Sus scrofa: one gene and its partners. The protein of the gene in region 5 binds, or shares a complex with, the protein of the main gene of each other region. Links are inferred from orthologs where the notes say so. Each region holds a gene or a part of one and is shown on either strand. Other genes may lie near its edges.

Region 1 (4,399 bases), about 6.8 Mb from region 5:
GCAGATGCGGCTCGGATCCTGTGTGGCTGTGGCGCAGCTCAGATTCAATCCTTAGCCTGGGAACTTTCATATGCCGCAGGTGCGGCCCTAAAAAGACACACACACACACACACACACACACACACACACACACACACACACACACACGAAAGCCTATTTGTGGCCTGTCAAACATTCCACATCTGCTTTAATTGTTATAGAAACAGGCACAGGAACCAGAAGAAAAGAATACCCATTGTTAAAAATAATGTGCCCTCTTCCTGGGGTGCCAGTGCTGGCACTCCCTGGATGATAAGACTCCCTTCCCAGGTGCCAAGGACATACTAACTCACTGCGTAGGTGCTGGCCTGTTCTTTTTTTTTTTTTTTCAATCTTGAAGAATTGCAGCCCCGACTTGTTTAATATTCTTTGTTCTGACAGGATATAATACAGTGCTGGAAATCATGCATCTTCTGAGCAGTTTCTAAGAGTGATATGGGAAGCAGATTCAGGGCTACTCAGTAGTTTGGCTCAAATGAAATTTTCTTCAATTCTTATTTTAGATCCTTTATTGATTATTATCATTGGCAACGGGAAGAAGAGCGATGATCCGGTAAGAGGGTAGGGAGGTCCCTGTGAGGTTGTGCATATGAGAAATGAACTCCGGCCAGAACTTTCCGTTCTGCCTGGAACCCTTTTGAGGCCCAAAGGTCAGGGAGGTCGCTGATAGTGAGAGATGCTTGGATAGTAGCTGGGCAAAGTCAAGTGCCCACGCCTCAAAGAGATAAGGAAATCCTTGCAGAGTCTGCATCGACACCCTCGCTCCTGGCCTCCCGGGGACGCAAGGTCTCATTCCCTGCCTCCACCCCCATCCCCAGCCCTTTCTGGTCCTCTTTGTTCCCTCTCTTCCCCAAACACACTTCTTGGGGCACACCCTAGTCCAAGAGAGCGGGCCACTTTCCGCGATGTGCAAATCCCTCACCAGTCTGAGCAAAGGTGTCTGGGGCGTGAGGGAGGGGGAACTAGAATCAACGAAGGTGCAGGTATGGGGTCCTCCAACGACCAGGGGCTCTGGGACAACAAGTGGCAGCCGGACAACATAGGCACATCCACCTCTCCACGTTCGGCCCAGGGCACGTGGGAGCTAAAGGAATGCGGAGGAGGGAAGGAGAGAGAGCATCCAGGCCTCAGGCACAGACAGCCGTGTCCGGAGGTTCATCCGGGACAACGCAGCAGGGGTTGGGGGTCGGGCTGCACCCGGCGTGGGCATCCGGAGAAGGGGGGGGTCCCAGGCTAGGCCCGGAGGGTTTCCGTTCGCCGGCGCTGCGCGGGCAGACTGGACGATGCAGGGCAGCGCCACCGCACACTCGGTGCTGACCGCTCGGCTGCTAGTGACCAGGCAACGGATAATCGGCCTCCCGCCGGAATCAAGTACGACGCAACCTGACTTGCAGTCCCGCGACGGCACGCAGCTGCTTGACAGTTTAATGCTCTCGCGAGATTTTCAGAGATCCGGTCGCAGCACCAGCTACCGCAGTTACCAAGGCAACTGGGCGGTGCCAGCGCGAGCGGGAAGGAGGCGAACGTCGAATTTTTGTCTGCTAGCCTAGGAGACTTGAGGACTGGCCCTCCCCGAGTTTCCAGCCCTAGAAACCCCGGCCTCTGCTCCAGGCAGTACCCCGTCCCCTGGGGGCCATGAGCCGGGTCTCGGGGCTCGTGCCCTCTCGCTTCCTGACGCTCCTGGCGCATCTGGTGGTCGTCATCACCTTATTCTGGTCCAGGGTAAGACCCACGGCCCCGCTCCGTTAGTCCACGCTCCCACCTTGGAGTGGTCCTGGCCCCACTCTACGCCTCTCCCCGGGGGCTTACCCGGTCGGGTGCTCCCCCCCCCGCCCCCACCCCGCCACCGCCGCCCCTCTCTCAACTTCTTTCTTTCTGCCCTGCTCCTCAGGACAGCAACATCCAGGCCTGCCTGCCTCTCACGTTCACCCCTGAGGAGTATGAGAAGCAGGATATTCAGTGAGCACCTGGGGCAGGGTGGTCAGAATTAAGCAGTCGTGGAAGTGAAGGGGTCTTAGAAAAAGTTCAAGAGGCCTAAGCCCACACCCTTCCTTTCTGCAGGCTGGTGGCAGCGCTTTCTGTCACCCTGGGCCTCTTTGCAGTGGAGCTGGTCGGTTTCTTCTCAGGAGTTTCCATGTTCAACAGCACCCAGAGCCTCATCTGTATCCTTTCTTCCGTGCACCTTTCCTGCACCGGCCATTTTCATCACAGCTCCTCTCCGCCACCTAACTAGGCCTTTCTGGTACATTGGTGTTTGTTCTAGTAGGCAAACAGAGTCCCTCCAGTTGAGAAATCTTCTTAGGCACTGTGGGAGATTTAATACAATCTTTGGGCATCTGTTAAGCTCCTGCTATACATCAGTCACTGGAGATCTCAAAATGGGAGTAAAACACAATTTTCTACCTTGAGGAAGAGTTAGACACAGACAGACATCTGTAATTCCGTGTGATAAGCACTGTGCCACGGGATGTGTAAAGATATGAAGCTTGTGGGGACACAGACGAGACAGAGGACGTGAGGGAGATGGATTAGGGAAGGCTTTGGTACTTGAATTGTGGTCAGGGAGGACCAGGGTGCTGGAAAGTGATTCCAGCAGAGAGTAAAAGGTCACAGAGTGCTTGGAACAGATGGGGAGGCTACTACCTCACCTGAACGGTCCAGGCTAGATATGGGGTGGGGGTTGCTTAAGGTCCCAGCTGTGCAGACTCAGCTCCTCTACTCACATGGCTGCCCTAAAACTCAGGATTCAGGGCTGCTGGCTCTGGCCTTTGCAGTGTGGTAAGAGGAGCAAGAGGTGCCCCGCTTCCTAGGATGTAAACCTGAATGTAGATGCCAGCCCCCAAACCGGCCTTTTCTGACCCATTACTACCTATTGATCCAAAGGATTTCCTTGACTCTAGTGTGTTCCAAGCCATTGGGGCTCACTGTAGTGCATCTGTGGCCCTGTCCTTTTTCATATTTGAGCGTTGGGAATGCACCACGTACTGGTACATTTTTGTCTTCTGCAGGTACGGTAGCACCCAATGTTTGGGCATGGGAAAGCAACATTAACTCTAAATCTGAAGATTTCCCTCACCCAGCTCTTTACTCCATGTATAAAATATCAGATCCACTCAACATCCTTTTTTGAAGTCCCCTCCCTCCTACATTTGGGGGTGGTATCTCTGGCTTGGGGATTTGGATTTTTTTATTGGATGAAGGGGACCCCGAAACCACCACCTATCTTCCGCAGTGCCCTCCCAGCCGTCACTGAAATAGCGTTATTCATCAGCGTCTTTGGGCTGAAAAAGAAACCTTTCTGATACCTTCATGACCGGAAGTACGGATGAAGGCTGGAAGAGCGAGGGATCGCTCACCGTTCCTGGAAGAAGGAAGTCAGAGGCTCCAGCTCTTCCTCCAAAACTGCGTCATGGAGGGTATCAGTGTAATAGTAATTATCTCTCGAGTCTGAAATTATGTGTGCTTTGCTTATAGTTCTTTGTAATAAATATATTTTTAGAATATGATCGACTTATAAAAATTTCAGATGAAAATTGGGGTGGCCAAAGTGATGGCTGTTTTCTAGGCCTGCGGACTGTAAAATAGTATATTCGCTTTTATTTTGGTTATTACGGTAGAAGTCTGGCGGGAGGGTGGGCGGGGATATGTAAATAAGGCGGTACTTACGGGTGGGACACCCGGCTGGTAAGTGAGTGGAGCATTCTGGGAGGAATTAGCTTATCCATTTTTGATAGCCAAATGGAAAAACTTATTTTAAAACATTTGGAAATAAATGTACCAAAATATACAGAAGAACCCAAGTAGGCTTAGTTGCTCGGACCAACGCAGTGTTTACTCATCCTATCTTTGAGAGGAATCTTTTTCCCAGAGTGCGGAATGTCACGCTAAACGTTCTTATCGTCAGGTAGGATAATCCTTACCTGTTCCTCCTTCGGGAGGGCAGAATGGAAAATGATGATTGGAGCTCGCATGATTCGTGATTAACGGCTCTGCGTAATCAGGACTTGCAACACCCTGATTGCTCCTATCTGATTCTTCCTGACGATCAGCGCTTTTTATCAGAGTCTTCACGGTTAGAAAGCTGTTGTTGTAGGGAAGACGTTGTACTTCCTATTTCTTGCTAGTACTTTCTTTTCAATTGTGGCTCTTGTCGCGGATGTTAGTGTAGTGCTAACTCCTCAAATCCCTTCTGCCGCGGAGCAGGCTTCCTTTTTAGTCTCAATGGCTGCAGTTTCCACCGGAAGGTTGGTCCAGGTTCTGAATCCACTCAGTAGTCTGCAGGGAACTCCCTGCTGCTGCTGCCTGGGAGGTGGTGATGACAACACGTTCAAGAGAATGCTGCTTCGCATTATATACACAG
Region 2 (3,714 bases), on a different chromosome or scaffold from region 5:
TACCTAGCCAACAACTGGAAATGAACTACCTTGAAATACTCTTGGTGTTGAGATTATAGTTGATTTTTTTTCTTTTTTTATAGCTCTCCAAATTTTATAAATTCTCTGTAGTAGCATGTGCTTTTTTAAATGGGGGGGAGGATTTTAATAGAGAAATTAACCAAGTGTTAAATTATGTTTGCAGATTAGCTTTAGACAAAGAAGGAGAATGTTAAGCTCTAGAGTAGGCGGATAAAAGTCAGGAGAATTGAGGCAAGAATACTTGAGCTGAGCCTTGAACTATCAATGAGAATTGGTTAGGTAGGGCATAGGGCAAAATGCTACAGACATATATATGTTCTCAGGATTTGGGTCATGTCAAGAGATATCTGGTCCATAACATTAACCACTGGGTCATGCATCACTACCTTTTCACTAGAATTAATTAAGGAAAAAAAATTTTTTTTGTCTTTTTAGGCCCGCACCCATGGTATATGGAGGTTCCCAGGCTAGGAGTCCAGTCGGAGCTGTAGCTGCTGGCCTACACCACAGCCACAGCAACTGGGGATCCAAATTGCATCTGCAGCCTACACCACAGCTCATGGCAATTCGAGATCCTTAACCCAGTGAGTGAGGCCAGGGATCAAACTTGCATCCTCATGGATGCTAGTTGGGTTCATTAACTACTGAGCCATTACAGGAACTCCAATTAAAGAAAAAATTTTAAGTGTTTAGAAAACAAAAAAGCCCATTTATGAAAGTAGTTAATTCTAAGGCTAGACTTTGTGGCATACCTTAAGGAGCAATAAATTAATCAAAAAGAAAAGCTAAGAATATGAGTACATAATGAACTTTTAGTACAAACTTTTTAAAAGTAGGTCTGAGTAAAATAGATGATATAAAGACCTGCAAGGGATTATGACAAGATAGAAATTAATAAAACTTAGAGGAGAGGGCAGCCTTGGATGATGTTAGAATCTCTTTGTCTCAAATATAGTTCCAATTCACTTTCAGTTGGCTTCTACATCTTATTGAATATTGTATTTTATTTTTGAGTAAGCAAAATTTTCATAATCTTGATCTTAATTTAAGTTTTTTAACTTTTCAGGAAAATTTGTGTAGCCAAAGAGGGTTGGTACCCAATACAGATGGTCAGACTTTTCAGATTGCAATTTCTAGCCAGATGAGACAACACTATGACAGAATTCATGAAACACTAACAAGGGTTTGTATAAAGTACAATTCAGGTATATTTTGTCAATATTTCATGTTATTTAAAAACCAGCAATGTAGGGCATGTTGCATTTATCCTTGTGTCTTTTCACATTAGAGAAATGGCCCTGCTAGACTGTTGAGTTCATCAGCAAGTACTTTTGAGCAGAGTATAAAAGCATATCATACTATGAATAAATTTCTTGGCTCTTTCATCGATCATGTATGTATATCAGCATTTATTTATTTATTTATTTATTTATTTTGCTTTTTAGGGCTGAACCCACAGCATATGGAGGTTCCTAAGCTAGGGGTCCAGCTGGAGCCGTAGCCTCTGGCCTACGCCACAGCCACAGCAACATGGGATCTGAGCCCCATCTGCGACCTACACCACAGCACATGGCAACGCTGGATCCTTAACCCACTGAGTGAGGCCGAGGATCGAGCCTTCACCCTCATGGATACTAGTTAGATTCATTTCTGCTGAGCCACGACAGGAACTCCTATTTTTTTTTTTTAATTATTTCTTAATTCAATCAAGTCAGTGGACTTAGAACCCTTGTGGGTTTTTTGTTTGTTTTCTAATTCGTGCGTAGTTGAGTTAGAATGTTGTGTTAGTTTTAGGTATAAAGTAAAGTGATTATTATACATACATATCTATTCTTTCTCAGATGCTTTTCCCTTATAGGTTATAACAAAATACTGGGATGGATTTAAGTTATGTAAAAGTAAAATGAAAAATTTTCATGTTGATTAGCATGATGATTACCTTAAAATATATCCATTCCGGAATTTTGTCAGTTACCAAAATATTATCATATTATTCATTTTAGATGTATGTTATATTATGGTTGTCTTCCTGAAAAGCTGGTTATAAATTGATTTTCAGAATATCTAACTGTGAATACTAATAATGACATTTAAAATTTAAAACATTCCTAAAGAGAATTTTGTTATAAAGCCAAGCATAGTAAATTGTCTTTTTGAAGGGCAGATTTGCTTTGTGTACTATTCATTTTTTTTCTCTGCTTCAGATTTTACAAAAATTGGAAAGCATTTATTTCACTGTTATTTTTGAAATGACTCTTGCTTTTTATATTAGGTTCATAAGGAAATGGACTACTTTATAAAAGATAAATTGCTTCTTGAAAGAATTCTTGGAATGGAATTCATGGAACCAATGGAAAAAAGTATCTTTTACAACGGTATCCTTCAAATGCCTTTGCTGAACTTGATTATTATTTTCCAAGTTTGAAAGAAACATGCTTGTAGTTACTGTTTTTTGATTTTATACTTTTATATAGGAAACATAATGAACTTAGTTAACTTAAAAGAATTACAGGGCGTTCCCGTCATGGCTCAGTGGTTAATGAATCCGACTAGGAACCATGAGGCTGCAGGTTCAATCCCTGACCTTGCTCAGTGGGTTAAAGATCTGCCGTTGCCATGAGCTTTGGTATAGGTTGCAGATGCGGTTCGGATCTGGCATTGCTGTGGCTCTTGCCTAGGCTGAGGGCTACAGCTCTGATTCGACCCCTAGCCTGGGAACCTCCACATGCCAGGGGAGCGGCACAAGAAATGGCAAAAAGACAAAAAAAATAAAAATAAAAGAATTACGTAGTTTTCAGTAGCAAGAAACAAATATATAAATGATAATTATTTTATAAGAAAGTAAAACATTGAATTTCAAAATCAGTGGTACACATGGAAGAGATAGTAAAACAAATACATAAAGTTCAGATTTTATTGGAAGGTTCATTTAGTGGCACACTTATAAACACTTAAAGAAGAATAATGTTCATGATTTATCTTGAAAAATTTGATTTTTCATTTTATCCAAATTCTTAAAAATTAGATATCTGTGATAGGAATAGTAACTAAACCTGCTCTTTTACCATTAAAAAAGTAGTATAGTCACTTTCAATGTGACCGAACCTCTTGCCTGGCTTGGGAAGAATGGAAATGATCTAACTAATGTCCTGGCCTAGATATCACTTGTGCACGTGTTAGTGCGTGCCGCATGTGGTGCCAGTCCTGGGATACCCACATTAGTGGTCCCTCCTTTGGGCATCGTGTTTAGTAGACTGTGGAAGGTAGGCATGTGGTAGGTGAGTGGAGTGATGGTGGGATAGAAGGCTGTGCAGACACAGCTTACACTGGGTGCAGAAAGGAAAGTAGAAAATTCTAACTAGACACGGGTGAAGTCAGAGAGTTATCATGGAGAAATTTAAACTAGGTCTTAAAAATAAGTTTTTCTTGTCAAATAGGAGGGTCCAGGGAAGAAAGGCAATGACATTTGTGCAGAAGGAGGAAAGGGTATTATGCACTTATGAACTTTATGATCAAAGGCTGGATTGAAGTGGGACAGTGAGAGGGGAGTGCGTGAATGATAAAGAGGGCAGAGACCGAGTCCCAAAGGCCTTTCTGACACCCTAAGGAGTTTTGCTTTATCCTATCGATAGAACACTTGTTTCCAAAAACATTTTTAAAGAAATTTTTGTCCCTCAAGGAGTGTGCAGGTTG
Region 3 (4,352 bases), on a different chromosome or scaffold from region 5:
GGAGGCTCCCAGGCTAGGAGTCCAATCCGAGCTACAGCTGAAGGCCTATGCCACAGCAACACAGGATCCAAGCCGCATCTGCAACCAACACCACAGCTCAAGGCAACACCAGATCCTAAGCAAGGCCAGGAATTGAACCCGCAACCTCGTGGTTCCTAGTGGGATTTGTTTCCACTGTGCCACAACTGAAACTCCAAAGTTACATTTCTTGATCTGGGTTCTTGTTACACCTGTATATTCAGTTTGTACACTTTTCTGTACATAATTGTACCTAACCAGTTTGTCTGTTTGTTTGTTTGTCTGTCTGTCTGAAACGATACATCTTATTTGAGGGAAAGCTAGAAAAATACTAAGTGGTTAAATTTTTTTTTCTTTTTATAGCAACACCTGTGACATATGGAAGTTTCCTGGCTAGGGGTCTAATTGGAGCTGCAGCTGCAGGCCTATGCCACAGCAACTCCGGATCTCTAACCAACCAAGGCCAGGGTCCCAACCCACATCCTCACAGAGACTATGTTGGGTTCTTAAACCCCCGAGCCACAACAGGAATTCCTATTTTAAATTTTTTAAATCACCCACAATCACTATCTAGACATTACTACTAACATTTTGGATTATTTTCTTCTAGTCTTCTTTTGAAGCCACAGTGCTTGTGCCATCTTCTCCCCCTCTCTGCTCCCCATATATTTACACACACACATTTTACTAAATTAGGTTCATTCCTACTTAGTTTTACTTCTGGTTTTTTTTAATTTAAAGTTAACCCATCATTAAATATTCATTGCAAACATGCTTTTAAACTGCTTCAATGTATTTCACCCAATATATATGTGTATCGTATATATATGCTATGTATATATATATAATATTCCTAATATATAACGTATTCCTATAAGAGAGTATGTATGTGTATACATACATATGTGTCTGTATACATACGGCATGCATATATTAAAAAATATTCCTAGGATGTAATAATATCACACACACACACACACACACACACACACACACACACACACACAAGCTACTGGGTCATGAACAGTCTGTTAACTCAGCATTCATTCTATATTTTCTCCCAGAAAGATTGTATCCCACTGGCAAGGTCTTAGAGCTCCTTGTATCACAATCCAACTCTAGTCACTAATTATTATTTTTATTCCTTTTTTAAAATGGTGGCCGTTAAAGCAGGACTTAGGAATCTGCGGTTTGGCATCATGCTGAGGCGCTGGGCAGGAACTGGCTCCCTGCACTCCTCTATCTTCCAGGGCTGCCTGGCGCCTCAGCCCGCAGCGGGGCCGCGCGTGCGCCCCAGCCCCCAGCCTCGCGCGGCCCGGTTGCTGTGGGAACCTCAAAGCGCCACGGTGCCCGAAGACCCAGGTGGGAGCAGTACTGAGGCCTGAGCATGGAGCTGCCGGATCCGGTCCGCCAGCGGCTGGGAAACTTCAGCCGGACCGTGTTCAGCGACTCCAACCGGACCGGGCCGGAGTATAGCGAGGGTCCGGGTGAGTGGCCGAGGCTCAGCGCAGCGCGTGGAGCGGCCAGATTTTGCCCAGACCAAAGATGGCGGTTTCGTCTTCAGAGAGTTCACCGCAGTGCGGGAGGCTCCTTGGAGGAGGGGCTGGGCCTGGGGCTGGGGCTAGGACCAGATATTCGGGGCCAAATACCCAGGCGGTCTTCGGCTGATGGTGCTGTAGCCTCGCGGGCGAATTGCAAGAGGGGCGGCCGACGTGGCGCCAGCCTTCCTCAAAAAATACAAGAACAAAACCCGCCTTCGCATTCCGCGTCCAGTCCCGCGCCCTCCGAGAAGGCTGAGAAGGCCGACTTTGCTTTTCCTCTGCGGCATCCGCCCTGGCATATTATGTCCAGGATGGAGTGAAAACAGCCCAGGCAATCTCCCCGTCCCACCCCACCCCCAACCCCAGTAAAATATCTTTTCCTTTTTTTCTTTTCTACCAGAACAAGTATGTTCCACCACAAGTCCGTTTTCTGGCAGAAAGCATGAAAAGTTTTTGTTTTTGTTTTAATGAACTATTTTAAACGCTATCCAATTCAGAGTGGCAGCTGCCACACTAGCATCGTCTCCAACAAAACTCACCCTCTCCCTGCTTTCTTCTCCTTCCCTATATATAACTCTTGCCCTAAATCAAGTAACAGAATACCATGATGCTACATTCAACATGACAAGTGACAACGCAGTTTCCTGCAGTTTCCCCCTCTTAAATCATGATGATAGACAACATACTGTGAACCAAACCCGTGCGCTTTTTATCACTGAACTGTGCTGGGAAATAGAAATCTTTTCCTTTTGCTTGGTTTAGGGATTTTTTTTTTTTTTTTTTTTTTTTTTTTAAGGAGGCAGAGAGAAGTCTGTTCCCATAGTTTCATTTTCCACGCTGATTACTAGCCTGTCCCTCCAATTTAAGCCTCCATGATTTAGGATGTACAGAGAAAAACATAATGTGAAAAAAAAATTGACTTTTACATTTCTGATTCTAAAGCTTAACAGGCACTAAAATCTGATGATGTAAAGTATCAGGGGTTTTCTGTAAAGGGCCAGATAGTAAATATTTGAGACCTTGCAGGCCATAGATGCATGTAGCAGCCATAGATGATGGTAATTGAATGGACTTGGCAGTGTTCCAATAAAACTTTATTTATGGATGCTAAAATTTGAATTTCCTATGATTTTCAGTGTCGCAAAATATTATTCTTTGATATTTTTTCTCAGCCATTTAAAAATGTGAAAAAACCATTTTTAGCTCACTTGCTATACAAAAACAGGCAGCTGGCTGGTAGTCTGCCTACCCCTGATTTATACTATAAAATGTTTTAATTTAAATTCCATTTATAGAACTCAACTTGTACTTTTGCAAAATTTAGTAAATTCATGTCTTGTGCTTGCTTTCAAAGTTCATTTACATATTAACTTGATTTTCAACTGCATGATTATAAGTTTGATCTCTGAAATATAGACATAGCATAACTCTTAAGAGGCTTGTGTACAAAATTCTTAACATAATAACTTCTTTGCAAAATTTGACTACAGTGTTTGCTCTAAAGTTATTAAAATTTTCAGCTTAACTAATTTATCATATTTTTCCACATTTTCCTCTTTGTGGATCTGAAATAGGTTCGATTATTTGTACTGTAAATACAAGGGTATATTATGACCTTGTCCACAGCTGACCAAGAGTTGTATGGTTGTTATGAAAAAAAATCCTAGGCAGGTGAGTTATCTTCAGATTTAACAGATTTTAAGAATGCATGCCTTGATCAGTGGCAATTTAATCAATAAGTACAAGCAAAAGTAGATCATAATCACACAATGTTTAAAAAGTAGATCATAATAACGAGGGATATTCTTGGAGCTAAAGAAAACCTTGCTATGAGAGACTGTGATTATTTTACATTTTAAAATTGTTAAATGATAGATATAAAATACTCAGCTATAGAGAAAAATAAAAATATACTTTTAAGAAATTTTAGAGCCTTCAGCAGTTAACGAACCCAACTAGGGTCCATGAGGATGCGGGTTCTATCCCTGGCCTCGCTCAGTGGATTAAGGATCTAGTGTTGCCATGAGCTGTGGGGTAGGTCCCAGACTCGATCAGATCCCGAGTTGCTGTGTCTGTGGTGTAGGCCAGTGGCTATAGCTCCGATTTGATCCCTAGCATGAGAACTTCCTATGGCAGCCCTAAAAAAAAAAAAAAAAAAATTTAGTCTTTGTAAATCCATTCTTTTAGAACTGTGGATTTCAAAGTATGTTATCTGTTCTTAAATTGTTAGAATTTTTAGTCAAATTTAGGATGCATTTGTAGGGCTCATTTGTTTCTAATTTATAAAGTCTTTTTATATTTTTTCCTTTTTAAAAAAACAAAGGATAGTTGATTTAGAGTGTTGTGCCAAATTTCTGCTGTATAGCAAAGTGACCCAGTCATATATATATATATACACATATATATAAATATATATACATATATACACACACACACACACACACACACACATTCCTTTTCATATCTTCCATCATGGTCTATCCCTAGAGACCAGATATATTTCCCTGTGCAATACAGTAGGACCTCATTGCTTATCCATTAAAAATCCAATGTACTATCAGTTGTGCCACAGAGCTGCCTTGTAGGGGGGCTCAATTTTAAAAATCAAATTCTTGGAGTTTCCATTGTGGCACAGTGGAAACGAATCCCACTAGGAACTATGATGTTATGGGTTCAATCCCTGGCCTTGCTCAGTGGGTTAAGGATCTGGAGTTGTTGTGAGCTGTGATGTAGGTCACAGATGCTGCTCGGATCTGGCGTCGCTGTGGTGTAGACTGGCAGCTGCAGCTATAA
Region 4 (3,714 bases), on a different chromosome or scaffold from region 5:
GATCTGTAAATAACTTGATATTCACTAGACGCAGCTGTAATTTTCCAGCCTGTGGTTTCCACATGCCGTGTGGATTCCACCAAAAACTCACGTTTACTTGGGGCTGGGCCAGAAGGCTGTGGCCAAAGAGCTAACAAAAGCTCCACGGTCTTTGGGCAGAGCCCTGGCAAAGCAAGCCGCTAGTGAGTAACCCGGAGAGGTGTGTCCGGCCTCTGCCCTCCCTGTCCTTCCCCTTTCCAAATGCCTGCCCTCTAAAAAGCCACATGCAGCCTTGCAGTTTGAACATTTTAATTAGAAAGTTACAAAACATCGTGGCTCTCTGTACACATTTTGCTTGAAAATAACTTAATAAAAGGCAAAGCCGTGTTTATACATATCTCTAGCTATCTTTCCTTACCTCGTTACGTTTTGGTGATTCAAACCAGAAATGATTTTTCACTTAAGTCTCAGGGAAAAAAAACTTTAGGCATAACAACAGCCCTGACTATTAAAAGAAAAGGCAGAGGGGCCAGGGTTCAGCTGTTTTTGTGCGTGAATACGTCAAAGGCGCTTTGTTTCCAAAACTCTTTATTTTGGTCAGCCTGAAAGAAGAGGTGCTTGGGAAGTAAGACCTGAGTCTCCAGGGGAAACTGAGGCATGCCATGTGCCCATGAGTGTGTGTGTGTGTGTGTGTGTGTGTGTGTGTGTGTGTGTGTGTGGATGGGCATGAAGTGTAGGTCACAGAAGCCATGTCCTTCCAGTGCCAGTGACATCTCGGTGTCACAAAGCAGGTCCAGCAGTCCTTAGGGCGAGGTCAGTTGTTCCACAGGCGACAGAGGCTGGTTCCAGTGGCCTCGTCTGCAGACACTCACTTAGTCATGAGGGTAATTTGGCTGGACTGTGTGTCACTCCGCTAAGTGGCTTGGACTCCCCGGGCTAGCATCCTTTTCGTCCCCTCCCTGCTCCTCGGGGGTCCTCCCCAAAGCGGCCCCCTCTGATGGGCGTCCTGCTGGCCCTGCAAGTAAACTCTGTGGTTGTCAGGCAGGGGGAGCCCACAGCAACAACAGCGCCTCTGTCCCCCGTGTCCTTTTCAAGAAGGGGAGGGCTGTCAAGGAGAAGGAGTGGCAAGTGTCCAGGCTGTTGGGCGAGGGCCAGAGAGAAAGAAGCTGTTGTTAGGCTCCTTACTTCCCCCACCGGGGCCAAGGGGCTTGTGAATGAACCAGCCCGGCGGACCGCAGCCCGCTATTCCAGGGGCACAGACGGAGGGCCGAGAGCCAGGCACAGCAGGGCAGGGATAAAGGGCTGTTGAGCTGGGCTGCTGACAGACGACTGTCTGTTAGGCTCAGGGCAGGTGGACGGATGGTCCTGGTGACCTCAAGTCGCCCACCCTGGCGCACGTGCACACATGTGCTCCGGAGCGCTCCCCGGTTTCGCTCCAGGGGTCCGGTTAAAGGCCTCTCAGTTCTGGAAACGAGTTCTGAATGGGAAACGTCGATGCCCAGGAGGGCAAAGTGCTGGTGATTTGCATATCTATCACCAGGGGGCCCTGGAAGGAGTAAGAACCGTGGTGGACACTGGGGGGAAAGAAATGCAGAGCGCTTTTCTCAGTTCAAGGGAGGAAAAGTCTTTGCTTGACCAGAGATGGGACTCTTTCCAAGAGGTCTGAACTGACTGGGGTTTTCTCCTGACATTCAAGTCTGAGGCAAAAAAAAAAAAAAAAAAAAAAAAAAAAAATCCAAAAACAAAAACCAAAGCAAATTACAGCCTTCAGGAACCCTCAGCCCGTTTCCACAAACTAGTCCCTGATTATTTTTGTAGGCGCTTAGAAGATATGGCATTTGTGTAGAGGATAATGAGACAGGATTGTTCTTTGTCTCCGACACGGGAAATCACAGAGGCGGGCAAGTGTCCAGGGCTTCTTTTTAGAAATTTCGTAACATGGCAGGTCTCGGGAGGCAATGGTGAGACAGCCAGGGTCCGGCTTAGAGTTTTCCGAAAGGGTCTTCTTAGGATAAGTGCTCCTTGTATGGTTCTCCCTGCGACCCTGCTGTGACAGGGACTGTGGTCACCACCTGATTTTGAAACACAAACCTCTTGATTCTTTCAAACACCCAGAGGAAGATGAGCAGGATACTGACATACTGGACCCAGGCAAACTTTATCATTTCCCAGAATCCCGGGAGATAAGTACCAACAGTTAAGGAATCACAGATGACATTTTCTAAGTAAATGTTAAACCAGAGGTTTAGTTGAGACAGAAAATGACAAAAATGTTTCAAATACCCTTAAGATAAAAGAGACAATAAAAGATTATTAAGACATAAATATGGATGCTTCTGACCTAGAAGAACTGCTCAAAAAGAAATAGGAACAGGAAATGAATTTTTTTTTTTTCTCTGTATCAACTGCAGACAAACAGAGTCATATCTGTGAGACTCCAGTGGCAGCAATTTCCAATCTGAGACTTCCCACATCTGTTCCTTTTGGGGACAACTGTGGAATCCTTCTTTTCTTTTGTGAAACCGAGCTCCTGTTGGCCCTTTACCAGAAAGGATATGAAATGACTTCCACAGGGTATCGGATGACAGCATTAATTACAAATGGAGCTTCTGCAGCCCTTCCCACCAGCCAGATGGGGTTGGGGTTGGTCAGGATGGTGGTTACTGCAATACAATCGGGACTTAGTCCATGAATGCTCTTTTAGGCAATAAAATAGTCAAGGCTATAAGAACAATCTGACCTCAGGCAAATTCTACACTGCAGAACTCATCCCCAAGAAATAACTTTTTTTGGTCTTTTTTTTTTTTTTTTTTCTTTTTCTAGGGCCACACCTGCGGCATATGGAGGTTCCCAGGCTAGGGGTCGAATCGGTGCTGTAGCCGCCGGCCTACACCACAGCCACAGTAATGCGGGATCCGAGTCGTGTCTGCAACCTACACCACAGCTCACGACAACACTGGATCCTTAACCCAGTGAGCGAGGCCAGGGATCGAACCCGCAACCTCATGGTTCCTAGTCGGATTCGTTAACCACTGAGCCATGACGGGACCTCCACCCAAGAAATAATTTGAAAGGAAAGAGAAATGGAACATGCAGAGTTGCTCACACATTATTTGTTAAAATACTTGTCAGAATACATTAAAAACTTGAAAAGTCTGTGTCTTCTACAACTGTTGAATGGCTAAGCAAAAGAATACTATACTACCACGAAAAAGAAAACCAATTAAAACTTTGTAGCCGTGTGGGGAAATATTTATATTACAAAGTACAAAAATAAGGTGGATCGTAAAGTGTCTCTAAACTATGATAAGAGCTGTATAAAAAAAAAAACCTGTGTTTGGACAAAGACTGGAAGCCATAAAGAGAAAAGTTGACTTGTAGATAAATGGGGGTTTTTTTGGCCACGCCCACAGCATGTGCAAACTCCCAGGTCAGGGATCAAACCTGCACCACAGCAGGGACAACACCAGATCTTTAACCTGCTGGGCCACCAGGGAACTTCTGTGGATAAATGTTTTTAAGGTGATCTAAAATCCCTTTATTTGGGGAATAATGCTGCTGGTGTAGTACATAAAATCAGAAGGAAATACTGGAATTGCAGTCCCCTGACTTGGTATATGTCAGTGAAGAGTATCTATGACGTCTGGCTGCCAAGCAACGCTTTAGATGCCTTTAGAGAAAACCTCAGACCACCAACCAGCCAGATGTGCTGAGCCAAGCACACAGGCTGGCCTG
Region 5 (3,429 bases):
TGCCGCTGGGTGAGAAGCCTGCAGCCGGAGCAGACCTGGCAGTACCTGCAGAGCTTGGCCGGCCTGTGCCAAGGCTGGTGGGGCCGTGGGGTCGGCAGCAGAGCCTTGGCCACGCTGACCTGGAGGCCAGGCCAGACACACGGGCTGGGCATCAGCACACAGCGTATGCCGAGATGATAGGTGCAGGGGAAGGGTGCCCGGGGGCCGAGGTTCAGGCCGCTCCGGACCGAGGAGGAAGCAGGGAGAGCGGGGGGCAGAGCCCGGGGCCCGGATGGCATGCAGGAGTCGTGTCAAGGCTGGTTGGTGACATGGGGACAGGGAAGGGGCCACAGACACAGCAAGCCAGGCCCCTGGTGACGTGACAGAAACACTTTGGTCGTGCGGGGGCCAGAGGTCAGGGTGCGGTGGGTTCAGGGACGAAAGGCCGAGAAGGAACTGGAGCTGGTGCGTGTCCGCATCTCTTTGAAGAAGCTTTGCTGGGAACAAGCTGGGGGGGCGGGCAGAGGAGGCAGGATGCGGGCACGGGCTGAGGGGGACACCCCACCCCCCGGAGGCGCGGTGGAACTCGGGCACAGGGCCAGGTGGCCCTGAGGGAAGAGAGCCTGGCAGCCGCTCCCCGTCCCTCAGCTTCCTTTGCTGGAGGAAGACAGGTCTCCACCCCGGGAGCCGGCCCGCCCGCGTCACCGTCCCTGTCCTCGCAGGGCCTGGAGGAGGGCATCTCCCAGATCACGTCCAAGAGCCGGGATGCCAGGCGCGCGCTGGTGTGGAACTTCCCCATCGACGTCACCTTCAAGAGCACCAACCCCCACGGCTGTGAGTCTGCGGCCCTCGCCCTGCCACCGCACGTCACCTGGGCCCCCGACCAGCCTCGCGACGTGCTCGCAGCCACCCGGCGACGGCCCCTCCCCTCCCCTTCCCGCCCTTCTGCGCGAGCTCGACCTCTGCCTGAAGCCCCGGATGGCACCTGCCTGCGGAGGGCGGGCTGGCCCAGGGCTCCCCTGGCGGCCCCTGCCCTGCTGCCCCTCCAGGCCCCTTCCTCCGCTGCCGCTGCCGGGCCCACATCCGCCCTCTGCCCCCTGGTCGGCGGGGCTTGCTGACCACTGGTGGTCAGGGATCGCGCTCACACAACAAGCGCCGGCCATGTGCAAAGCCTGGGGCGGCTGCTCCGGGCTGTGGCTGCCCCCATGGGCTGGGCCAAGCCTCCCCATCCCACCCGGGGCTTCTCCGCTTCTCCCACGTCAGGCATCGGCAACTCAGAGCCGCCATCCCTTGCTTCAGCTTTACCTCTGGCAGCTGAGCATGGATTTGATTTCAGGTCCCTCTATTCCACAGTCCAGGCCTTCATGCTGGGTGTGACTGGGCTGACCGGATGCCAGGCTGCCTGGCGGTCCTCCTGGGCGAGGGCCGCCATCCTGTTGTCACCATCCGTGAGTAGGAAACCTCCATAGGCTTCCTGGAACAGGGCACGAGATGTGGCCCAATCTGCTGAGACCAGCTGGGGAAGGCGAATAAAATATTAAAAAGCAAAACCAGAAAACAGCTCCTTGGAGGCAGCAGAGCTGCAGAGTGGTGGCGACCCGGCAAGCCAACACCCAGGACAGAGGCGGAGCTGCGAGTGCTGGCTGATCCCCGGCGAGGTGACTGAGAGGCTGACGGAGACGTGTCCTGGCCGCTCTGGGCCAGGGACCCACGGAGCTGGAAGATCCTTCAGTGGGTCGGGCGCTCCGAGCCCCGAGCACACAGCAAATTCATCAGGATACCAGAAGGGTGACATGTCATGAGCAAGTAGAGTTTGTTCCAGAAGTAATGCATTTGTGTAAATCTAAAATCAAACACTGAGACTCACTATAGGAGCTCCCGTCGTGGCTCAGCAATAATGAACCACCCATGAGGACGAGGGTTCGATCCCTGGCCTTGCTCAGTGGGTTAAGGATCTGGCACTGCTGTGAGCTGTGATGTAGGTCACAGACGGGGGTTTGGATCCTGCGTGGCTGCGGCTCTGGCGTAGGCCGGCGGCTATAGCTCCGATTCGACCCCCAGCCTGGGAACCTCCATGTGCCGAGGGTGCGGCCCTGAAAAGCCAAAGAAAAAAGTAGAGAAGAGATTCACTCCTTTAAAAAGAGTCACCACCATCCCCATAAATGCAGAAAAAGCAACATTCAACATGCATTCGTGATGAACATGAAGCAAACCGGGAGTAGAAGGAAACCCCTTCATCTGATAAGGCTGCCTACGCAAGCTCAGAGCAGACGTCACGTTTTTACAGTGCAACGTTGGAAGAGTTCTCTCAGCTCCGTCACCACCACCACCAGCGCACAATTCAAAGGCATGAGAACCAGAACCATTTCGCCCATGAATGACAAGGCGTTATGTACGCAGAATTTCCAGAAGAGCCGGCAGCAATCATTAGGATTAATCAATTGGCATGACTGCCAGATATAAGAGCAGTATACAAAAGTCAGTTGCTTTCCGTGTGAAAACAGAACATGTATTCTATATGAAAAGGGGAATTGACATCTTACAAGAAGGTCCTTTTCAGTAATGCCGATGTAACCCAGGGTGCCAGAGGTCCAGCTCTAACTGCGAAGCACAGTCACTAAGACAGTCGTGGCACCAGGACAGACAGACAGTCCCGTAGGAGCCCAGGGCAGAAGCGAGCCCGTGGGGAGGGAGGAGGGTCTTGGGACGTGGCCCTGGCACAGCTGGATACACCAGGAAGAAGAGGGAGGCTGCTCCCTGCGTCCCATCGGATGCACAGAGTCCCCAGTGATGAGGCTCCAGGAAGATTCCATGGGGGCACCAAAGGACCCCACAGGGGAAGGTCCGTGCGTTCAGCTGTGTTAGAACTCAGGGCATCTGTTCAGCAAAAGCCGTCACTGAGGGTGACGAGCCGAGCCATGCAGCTCACACCGGCTGCACACCGATGAGAAGACCGGCCGGTGGAGCAGCTACCGCCCCGCGGCAGGGGGTGCGTCCGAGCGCCCGAGGAGCAGGCGAGGGCTCGGCTTTATTTCAGGAAGAACAATTCCAGTTAAGGCCTCTGCTTTCTCTCTGACCCCCGTGCCCGTGTGGCACGCACTTGAGTCTGACCGCCCCTCACAAGAGCAGGTCCCGGGAGCAGGCCATCTGCCGGGTCACGCTTGGGTCCCCAGCTGCGGGTTGGGTGCGTCGAGCCCTGCAATCCAGGCAGCACCCCGGGCCCCCGGGCCGTGCATGGGCCCTGGCCGCCCCCGCTCCTGGGAGGGCCGAAGCCCTGACCTGCCTTGTCCTTCCCAGGGCCCCAGATCGTGCTCAGCGTGTACGGGCCGGACGTGTTCGGGAACGACGTGGTCCGAGGCTACGGGGCAGTGCATGTGCCCTTCTCCCCCGGCCGGTAGGTCTCCCCCGGCCGCTGGGCCCTGGGACGGCGGGGCATGTCCTGGGGCCTCC
Region 6 (4,229 bases), on a different chromosome or scaffold from region 5:
CACGGTCTTGGTCACCTTGCTGAATTCTTCCCCCAAGGAAGATAAGAACCAAGGTCTCTCACTGCCGAACTCAAGCTCATTGTGTTACTCATAGGCCCTGGGTACCAGGGAACCAGGATGCCACAATGATGCTCCTGTGTTTGTTATTTCAATCTTATTGCCTATTTTTAGCACCGATGGGAGCTACTCCTTGCTGTCTATGACAGGAGTCAGCAAAATTTTACTTAAAGGGCCAGATTGTAAATATTTAAGCCTGTGAGCCATATAGTCCTAACAAGTGATGCAACGACTCAGCCTGAAAGCATGAAAGCCTATTACATGAAAGCAGATGTATTTCATGGATGTGGCTGTGTCCCCCCCAAAAAAACTGGAAGAAACAGGTCTTCAGATAGGTGTTTTGGGGAGAAGACTTTATGAACCCAATCCTGGCATCTCCTCATATCTAGAAAAGCGCTAAAATCCTTCATGGTGATGCCTGCTCCTCATGACTAGCGGGAAACTTCACCAAAGGAGAGTAACTTTCTGCTAAATTGTACCACCCCTTTCACCAAAATCACATATATACTGGCATTGCCCCCACTTTTTTGGAGCATTTTTTTTTCCAGAGCTATCTGAAATGCTGCCTCCCAGGCTATAGTCCTCACTTTGACGGCCCAAAAATTTAACTCACAATTCTCACATTGCGCATTTTTTAAAAGTCTACAAGTGTGACATCTTTTTCCTGTCCTACCCTTCCTGACAGTGGGCTAACCCCTATGTCACCCTGAGTCCATTCAAACCCCTTCTTCCTGTGATGGAACATGATGGAGGAAAATGTAAGAAAAAGAATGTATGTATATGTGTAACTGGGTCACTTTACTGTACAGCAGAAATTGACAGAACATTGTATCAACTACAATAAACAAAATTTTAAAAAAGCAAAAAACAACCCTTCTTCCTAGTCCCCTGCCCTGTGGGGTAACACATTTTTACTGCTCCAAATCATAACAAGTTTCAAAGCCCAGTTTACAGGCCATGTCTTGGAAACGTCTCCCAACCCCTACCGAGAGTACTTTGTCTTCTCAACTGCCACTGCACATTGGGGTCAAGTGCTGATTATATTTCATCTTTTGCTCTTATTTATGCTCCTTGAAAGGAGCCTCCAGTTCCGACTAACTTTGGTACCTTCTTCTTCTTCTTTTTATTTTTTTTATTTTGTTTGTCTTTTTAGTTTTTAGGGCCGCAGCCGTGGCACATGGATGTTCCCAGGCTGGGGGTCGAATTGAAGCTGTAGCTGCCAGTCTATGCCACAGCAACCTGGGATCCTGGCCACGTCTGCAACCTACACCACAGTTAACCACAGCGCTGGATCCTTAACCCACTGAGCAAGGCCAAGGATCCAACTTGCATCCTCATAGATACCAGTCAGGTTCCTTTCCGCTGAGCCACAAGGGAAACTCCAACTTTGGTATCTTCTAACTCCCTGGTACATAAATCAGATGCATAGAAAAACCCTACCCCCGCATCCCCTCCCCTCAGAAAAAGACTGTTTACACAAAGGATCCCCAAACTCCACGCCGCATTTGCAGCGCACTGTCGCGCACACTATTTCTCATTTTAAGACCCATGTTAGTAAAGAAACCATGGGACCAGGGCCTATTCACCAACTCTGATCACATTACCACTACTGGCTGCTTCGAACAATTCCTGGTAAATTTGGGATGGGGGCGGGGCGAAAACTGCCCCGCCCTCGGAGTCCTGCAGACGACATCATCTGCTTTCTTATCAGTCCTCTGCCAAAACCCCAGCGAAGTCGGTTCGCGGCCCGCGCTCCTCCCGGCGCAGGCGTGGCCGTCACAAGAGTGCCCCCGGCCCCAGGTAACCATCGAGTGCAGCAGGCGGATAGAAGGGCCCGAATCCAGGGCCGCTCCGTCCCTCGCTTCCGGCAACGCCTCGCTGCTCCAGGAGTGCTGTAGCCGCGTATGCAGTTTCCATGGGGACTGAAGATGGCGCCGCGAGGTGAGGTTCTGGAGGTGTGTGAGTTGCTGGTCCTGATCCCTTCAGTTTCCCCCCCCACCCCGCCCTCCTCTCCCAGCGTCGACCTGAACCCTCCATTCTCCTCACTTGTCCACAGCAGGGTTTAGCAGCCTCACCTACCCTGAGTGCCAGAAGGTCTCGAGATGTGGGTCTCAAATACCCCCAAATCCTTGGCTCAGCCTGTTCTAGGCCGGCTCAATAGGAATTTGCAGCGTGGCTTCACACTGGCCAGTGCTGTCTCTGGGTCCCAGTTTTCCTTCCTAAATAGCGACGAGGTTAGATCCCTGACTTTCACCCCCAAAGCCGAAGCGGTAGAGTTTGATGGCGATTCTGGAAAGGAGGAGATTGAAGGAAACACACACACACACTCACTCCTCATCAGCAAACAGAAGTGCCCCCAGGGACCCTTTCTGTCAGCTGAAACCCCTCCACACTCCGTACGCACACGCGCGTGCACACACACACACACACACACCACACAGACACCTTCTCATCAACAATCAGAAGTGCCGCCAGTGGCCCTTTCCACCAGCTGCGGCCTCCTGTTTCCTCCAAGTTAGACACAGAACCATTCAAATAACTGGGGTTGAGCTGCCTGCCCTCCAGCCCGTCTCTTTTCTCTGTGCTCCTATTTTCAGGTAAACGGTTATCTTCCACCCCCCTGGAAATCCTCTTCTTTCTGAACGGGTGGTATTATGCTACCTATTTCCTGCTGGAACTCTTCATATTTCTGTATAAAGGTAAGGTCTGGGGTTTAACTACCCTTTCCCCAACATCCCTTCCCCACTTCAGCCCAGAGCCAGCTCCCACCCAAAGCCTTATTTTTTCATTCTTTTCTGCTCCCCTGCAGCTCTTCTTCACTGCAAGGTCTCTTCATCAGATGGCTTCCTTGAGAATGATTCAGTAGGAAGCCACTCAGCAAGAATTTCTTGAGTTTGGGAAATGGGGGCTTCTCCCTTCTGACTCTCCCCTGTCACCTCTCTTTGCTGAACTCCACTTTAAGCCCATTGGTGACCCTCAGAAGCTATTCAGCGCCGTATATCCGTGTACATCTGATCTGATAACTGGAGAGTGGCGTCCCCACAGAATCTTTTTTTTTTTTAAGGTTTTATTGAAGTATAGTGATTGCAACTATAAATTGATTTGCAATGTTGCGATAATTTCTGCTGTACAACAGAGTGATTCATTTACACATATCCACATCTCCATTCCTTTCCAGATTCTTTTCCCATGTAGGTTATCACAGAATACTGAGTAGAGTTCCCTGTGCTATAAATAGCAGGTCCCCACTGACCACCCATCCATTCCATATGCAGTAGAGCCCCACAGACTCTTGGAGTTAGGAGTAAAAGCCCATAATTACGAGCCTGCCTCTAACAGACATAGCCGCACCATGAGTTAACGGATCCTGCCCGTATCTCAGTAAGTAGCTCATGGGAAGAGAACATGATAAGACTCATGTTCTCTTTATTCCCAAGTGAGTGGGAGACCTTGTGTGTGCTGTTCGACGTTGTTTGCAAACTCTGGCTTTTGTATCGCAGGTCTCCTGCTACCATATCCAACAGCCAATCTGGTCCTGGATGTGGTGATGCTCTTCCTTTATCTTGGCATTGAAGCAATTCGACTGTTTTTTGGTGAGTGTTGTCCAGAGGCTATTTCCATTCCTTGCGAGATGAGCTGGTATCTGTAACTTGATGAACAAAGAAAAGCACTTAACCTTGGCTCACAATGAGAGAGTGGATCTGGTGGCATATCCCGTTACACCCTCTCTGAAGTTTCAGGCGGCTTCATACTTGGGGTCAAGACTTACCTGTCTATTGCTCTGTTGCGCCACAGGTGGGTGGCGGCATGAGATATTAGATCATTCCTTCCCGATTATCTAACTACAGGAGTGCCTGGTTCCTCTCACTGGTTTCTTGGGAGAAGAGATTTCGTTGTAACTCCATGTCCAGGGCAGTAGATCAGCAATAAGGTCCCCTCCGGTTCTCTGAAAAAGGATTTCTCTAGGACAAGTTTACATCCCCGGAGGTACAGAGCAATCCCTCATGAGTTACCTCATCCCTGAAAACGGTGTTAAAACATACACTGAGGGAAAAAAATAACTTCAACAAAAAGAGGTTCACATAAAGAACTAAGAAAAAGATAACCTCGTTTTAAAAATTAGCAAGGGAGGAGTTCCCTTTGTGGCTCAGCAGGTTAAGAACCCAACTAGT
Region 7 (3,714 bases), on a different chromosome or scaffold from region 5:
ACCCCCAAATCTTTAGCCTACATATGAGACTACTTCTTGATTTTTTGTTTTATAACTTATTTTAATTTTTTATTAACGTAAATTGATCTACAATGTTCCAGGTGCACAGAAAAATGATTCAGTTATCCATATGTGTGTGTGTGTGTGTGAACTTGTGTGTGTATGTGTGTATATACACACACACACATACATATCTATTCTCTTTCAGATTTTTTTTCCATTATGGGTATTACAAAATACTGAATCGGAGTTTCTGTTGTGGCTCAGAGGGTTAAGAACCCGACTGGTATCCATGAGGATGCGGATTTGATCCCTGGCCTCTCTCAGTAGCTTAAGGATCTGGTGTTGCCATGAGCTGTGATGTGGGTTGCAGATGTGGCTTGGGATCTGGTATTGCTGTGGCTGTTTGGCTGTCAGCTGTCCCTCTGATTTGAACCCTAGCCTGGGAACTTCCATATGCCAAGTGTGTGGCCTTAAAAAGAAAAAAAAAAAAAAAAAAAAAAAAAATCAAACTAGTGACTGTAGTTCTCTGTGCCCTACAGTAGGTCTTTGTTGTTTATCTACTTTATTCTACTTATTTATTGAGTTCCCACTGTGGAGGGTGAAGATTTGGCTCTTTCTCCTTTGATCCCTATCCCACCACACACTGCTTCCCATCCTTATATCTCCCCAGGATATCGACATCCTTATTTTGGTTAGACCAGTATTCATCACTGACATTAATTAAAAAAGAAAAACTGCAGGTATGAACGAACAATCACCTCATTCAATTGACCTTGTTTTCCTTCCCAAAAGGCTGACCAAAACTATCACATGTCGGCTGGCAGCCCAGAAGGTGAAGAGCCTGCTGAAGGGTCAGGGCTTCCCAGATTACGTGGCCCCATTTGGAAATTCCCAGGCCCAGGATGTGCTGGACTGGGTGCCCATCCACTTCATCACCCAGACATCCCATGTGAAGGTAAAAGGGGAGAAGTTGGAAGGCCACATGCCGGTGGGTAGGGGGCACCTATTGTTGTGGGGGTGCTCTGGATAGGAGCCTGGACAATGTTGTCAGATGGACCTGGATCCTGAGTCCTGATTTTGCCCCACTGTTGCCTTTGGCCAGCAGCTGGATGGGTTTGAGCCTGTTTCCTCACCTGATAGCTCTGGTACCAACCCCATGGGCTTGTTGAGGGTTAAATGACGTGATGTTCATGGTGCCTAGAGGTTAGTCTATACATGGGAACCGCGACCAGTCGCCATCCTGTTCCTGGTTGGCGTTATACGAGGCCTCCTTTAGACATCGTGATATGATAGCTGTGTCAGGATTGTCTCAGCAAGACTCCCCCATCCACATAGCTGTCCCATCCATTGTTCCCTGGTTTATAAAAGCAGTCCACATGTGAGTGCTTTCAATTCTAAAGTTCCTGAAGGAGTTTAATGGAAGTTGACATCCTACAAATAGGTTCCGGATCACATGTGGTTCTTCTGCCCACCTTTTTCTTTTGTCTCAGCAGTCAGAGTGTGGGCCGCCGTCACTGGAGGCGTGCTCTCCATCTTATCCTTTAATTGCCCAGCTTTTGCTTGTCACAGTTGCTTCAGGCCTCTCATTATCTGCTTGGTGTATTTATAGCTCGGGGATAAAGGGGGTGAAGACTAGCTCGCTAGCTCTGATCCCGCCCTCCCCACCCGGTGCCCAGCGGAGACCTGTGATTACTCAGTCCCTGCTGTTCAGCTGCTGAGTCTTGGCTCAGCTCTGTTGCCCCATTGAACCAGGCAGGCTGCTTGGGGCTTCTCAGAGATGGGTTCAGACATCCAATTATGACCTCCCCCTCAGAAGGGAAGACAGAGTTGGCGGAGAGAGGCAGCAGGATGGACATAAGCACTGCCCAGGTCTGTGCTGGTCCAGGGAGCTCAGAGGGCCGGGAGCAGGTTCCGTACCAGCCTTCCGGGTGGAGCGGCATGAGAGTATCTGCTAGACTCAGTCCGTATCAGCTGCATCTCCTCCTAATAATATTCTCAAGGATTTTTCAGCCTGTAGATTTCTTCAAAGGCAGTTCTAAGCCAAGGAATCTCACCCGTGCCTCTTTGGCAGGCACCAAATTTAGCAGGCCTGCTAGCTTCTCATGCCCTAAAGAGATGTATCTTTAAAAACTTTTTACTGTGGGAAACTTTCTTACCTACACAGAAGTAGAACACTACAGTGGAATTCCATCTCCCACTGTACGGCTTCAACATTATCACGTTTACCAACTGAAGAAACTAAAGGCAAGAAAGAGGTCTGGAAGGCCCACTTGCCAATTTTCCCCATGGGGCAGACCAAACAAAGGTCCTAGGGCAGAGGCCTCAGGCCTGGCTCCTAGTGTCCAGCCTGCACTTGGGTAGCGCCACTGTGGCGCCAGTGCTCTCGGTTCAGATGGAGAGTTAATGTCTTTGACAACTTAAGACACTGTCTGTTTACCCTGATGTAACATCTTCATTGCCAACTGGTGAAATCAGATAAATGAGAAGAAAGCCCTTAAATTTTCTCTAAGTGCATTTTAACATGGTATGCAGTCAGGTTTTATTTCTCTCTGATAATAATACTACTTCCCACTCCCTCCCCTGTTGCCAGTTTCTCCTCTAAGGTATCTCTGTGGTGGATGTAAACAGGTAGGTGAGGTTAGAGCTCCTAAAGCCCTGGAGGTTCCACATTTAGCTATTAGAGTTACCACAACTCCCAGGTAAATGCTGGCCTCTTTAGAAATAGGAAGGGATGGAAAAATTATGCTTTAGGTGGAGCATTGAGTACTTTAAAATATGTGCTTTCTCTAAGCTGTTTTTATCTGAACTTCTAGAGTCTATTCATTCTCTTGTTCAGAACATTTTGTAATATGTGAAACATTTTATAATTAAAACTCTGAACTGCAGATTAAGTTTGACTTGAGGTTGTATAATACGTTGATTAATGGCATTTTGTTTTGCAGGATTCTTGCCAGCTCCCAGTGGCTTTGGCTATAGAAGTGAAGTGGACTAAATATGGATCCTTATTGAACCCACAGGCTAAAATAGTCAATGTAACTGCAAATCTAATTTCATCTTCTTTTTCTGAGGTAGGCCTAACTTTAAAGGTATGGGTTAAGACATGAGTCCAGACAAAACTCAGTTGTGATAGATGAAATTTATTATTTTGTAAAAAAAAAAAAAAAGAATAATTAAAATTTAAACAATCTGAATTGTTAAAACAGCTTAGCAGTCATTATCTTTTAGAGGAAAAAAATTCCACTGAACACAGTGGTTTTAGTCACATTAGCATTCTTGTTTAGATTTGAAATTTACAATTCTCATGAAAATTGAGCTGTGAATGATATTGATGTGTTAGGACAACCTGAATGACAGCTGTCTCCTCTGAGTTAATGGCTGATGAGCCCTCTGCGTGGCTACCAGATTCATGAACCGACAGCAGTTGGGTGAGGAAGGGAATGAGAGCTGTCCCACCTTTGTTATCCTGGTAACACGCTGGAAGGCAGGGCTTGCATCACTCTGACTTTTTATTACAGACCCACTTAGGAAATGAAAGGACAATTCTTATTTCTACTGCGGTTACTTTTGTGGATGTATCTGCACCTGCAGAGGCAGGCTTCAGAGCTCGGCCAACCATCAACGCCAGGCTGCCCTTTAATTTCTTCTTCCCGTTTGTTTGACGTAAGTCATTAAACAAGGAAACTACACCACGCCTGTAGACTCGAGCATGTG

The links.
Region 1: B9D1 (region 5) and TMEM107 share a complex: the UniProt entries of both Homo sapiens proteins name them as parts of the tectonic-like complex. The link is inferred for Sus scrofa from reciprocal best matches to the Homo sapiens genes B9D1 and TMEM107.
Region 2: B9D1 (region 5) and TMEM67 share a complex: the UniProt entries of both Homo sapiens proteins name them as parts of the tectonic-like complex. The link is inferred for Sus scrofa from reciprocal best matches to the Homo sapiens genes B9D1 and TMEM67.
Region 3: B9D1 (region 5) and TMEM17 share a complex: the UniProt entries of both Homo sapiens proteins name them as parts of the tectonic-like complex. The link is inferred for Sus scrofa from reciprocal best matches to the Homo sapiens genes B9D1 and TMEM17.
Region 4: B9D1 (region 5) and TMEM231 share a complex: the UniProt entries of both Homo sapiens proteins name them as parts of the tectonic-like complex. The link is inferred for Sus scrofa from reciprocal best matches to the Homo sapiens genes B9D1 and TMEM231.
Region 6: B9D1 (region 5) and TMEM216 share a complex: the UniProt entries of both Homo sapiens proteins name them as parts of the tectonic-like complex. The link is inferred for Sus scrofa from reciprocal best matches to the Homo sapiens genes B9D1 and TMEM216.
Region 7: B9D1 (region 5) and TCTN1 share a complex: the UniProt entries of both Homo sapiens proteins name them as parts of the tectonic-like complex. The link is inferred for Sus scrofa from reciprocal best matches to the Homo sapiens genes B9D1 and TCTN1.

What each region holds. Positions count from the first base shown.
Region 1 is NC_010454.4:53,394,196-53,398,594, reverse strand, and holds TMEM107 (transmembrane protein 107), read left to right. Parts: upstream 1-1,530; 5' UTR 1,531-1,674; coding exon 1,675-1,761; intron 1,762-1,930; coding exon 1,931-1,998; intron 1,999-2,100; coding exon 2,101-2,201; intron 2,202-2,950; coding exon 2,951-3,047; intron 3,048-3,271; coding exon 3,272-3,341; 3' UTR 3,342-4,095; downstream 4,096-4,399. UniProt on the Homo sapiens protein: Plays a role in cilia formation and embryonic patterning. Requires for normal Sonic hedgehog (Shh) signaling in the neural tube and acts in combination with GLI2 and GLI3 to pattern ventral and intermediate neuronal cell types.
Region 2 is NC_010446.5:42,882,399-42,886,112, reverse strand, and holds part of TMEM67 (meckelin), read left to right. Parts: intron 1-1,087; coding exon 1,088-1,204; intron 1,205-1,309; coding exon 1,310-1,414; intron 1,415-2,293; coding exon 2,294-2,396; intron 2,397-3,714. UniProt on the Homo sapiens protein: Required for ciliary structure and function. Part of the tectonic-like complex which is required for tissue-specific ciliogenesis and may regulate ciliary membrane composition.
Region 3 is NC_010445.4:79,414,418-79,418,769, forward strand, and holds the start of TMEM17 (transmembrane protein 17), read left to right. Parts: upstream 1-1,349; 5' UTR 1,350-1,405; coding exon 1,406-1,505; intron 1,506-4,352. UniProt on the Homo sapiens protein: Transmembrane component of the tectonic-like complex, a complex localized at the transition zone of primary cilia and acting as a barrier that prevents diffusion of transmembrane proteins between the cilia and plasma membranes.
Region 4 is NC_010448.4:12,160,701-12,164,414, reverse strand, and holds the end of TMEM231 (transmembrane protein 231), read right to left. Parts: intron 2,643-3,714; coding exon 2,537-2,642; intron 2,167-2,536; coding exon 1,986-2,166; 3' UTR 521-1,985; downstream 1-520. UniProt on the Homo sapiens protein: Transmembrane component of the tectonic-like complex, a complex localized at the transition zone of primary cilia and acting as a barrier that prevents diffusion of transmembrane proteins between the cilia and plasma membranes.
Region 5 is NC_010454.4:60,165,467-60,168,895, forward strand, and holds part of B9D1 (B9 domain-containing protein 1), read left to right. Parts: intron 1-701; coding exon 702-813; intron 814-3,276; coding exon 3,277-3,373; intron 3,374-3,429. UniProt on the Homo sapiens protein: Component of the tectonic-like complex, a complex localized at the transition zone of primary cilia and acting as a barrier that prevents diffusion of transmembrane proteins between the cilia and plasma membranes.
Region 6 is NC_010444.4:10,119,370-10,123,598, reverse strand, and holds the start of TMEM216 (transmembrane protein 216), read left to right. Parts: upstream 1-1,338; 5' UTR 1,339-1,961; coding exon 1,962-1,998; exon of another isoform or gene 1,999-2,012; intron 2,013-2,654; coding exon 2,655-2,756; intron 2,757-3,332; exon of another isoform or gene 3,333-3,438; intron 3,439-3,557; coding exon 3,558-3,650; intron 3,651-4,229. UniProt on the Homo sapiens protein: Part of the tectonic-like complex which is required for tissue-specific ciliogenesis and may regulate ciliary membrane composition.
Region 7 is NC_010456.5:32,003,717-32,007,430, forward strand, and holds part of TCTN1 (tectonic-1), read left to right. Parts: intron 1-795; coding exon 796-958; intron 959-2,945; coding exon 2,946-3,071; intron 3,072-3,120; exon of another isoform or gene 3,121-3,518; coding exon 3,519-3,662; 3' UTR 3,663-3,714. UniProt on the Homo sapiens protein: Component of the tectonic-like complex, a complex localized at the transition zone of primary cilia and acting as a barrier that prevents diffusion of transmembrane proteins between the cilia and plasma membranes.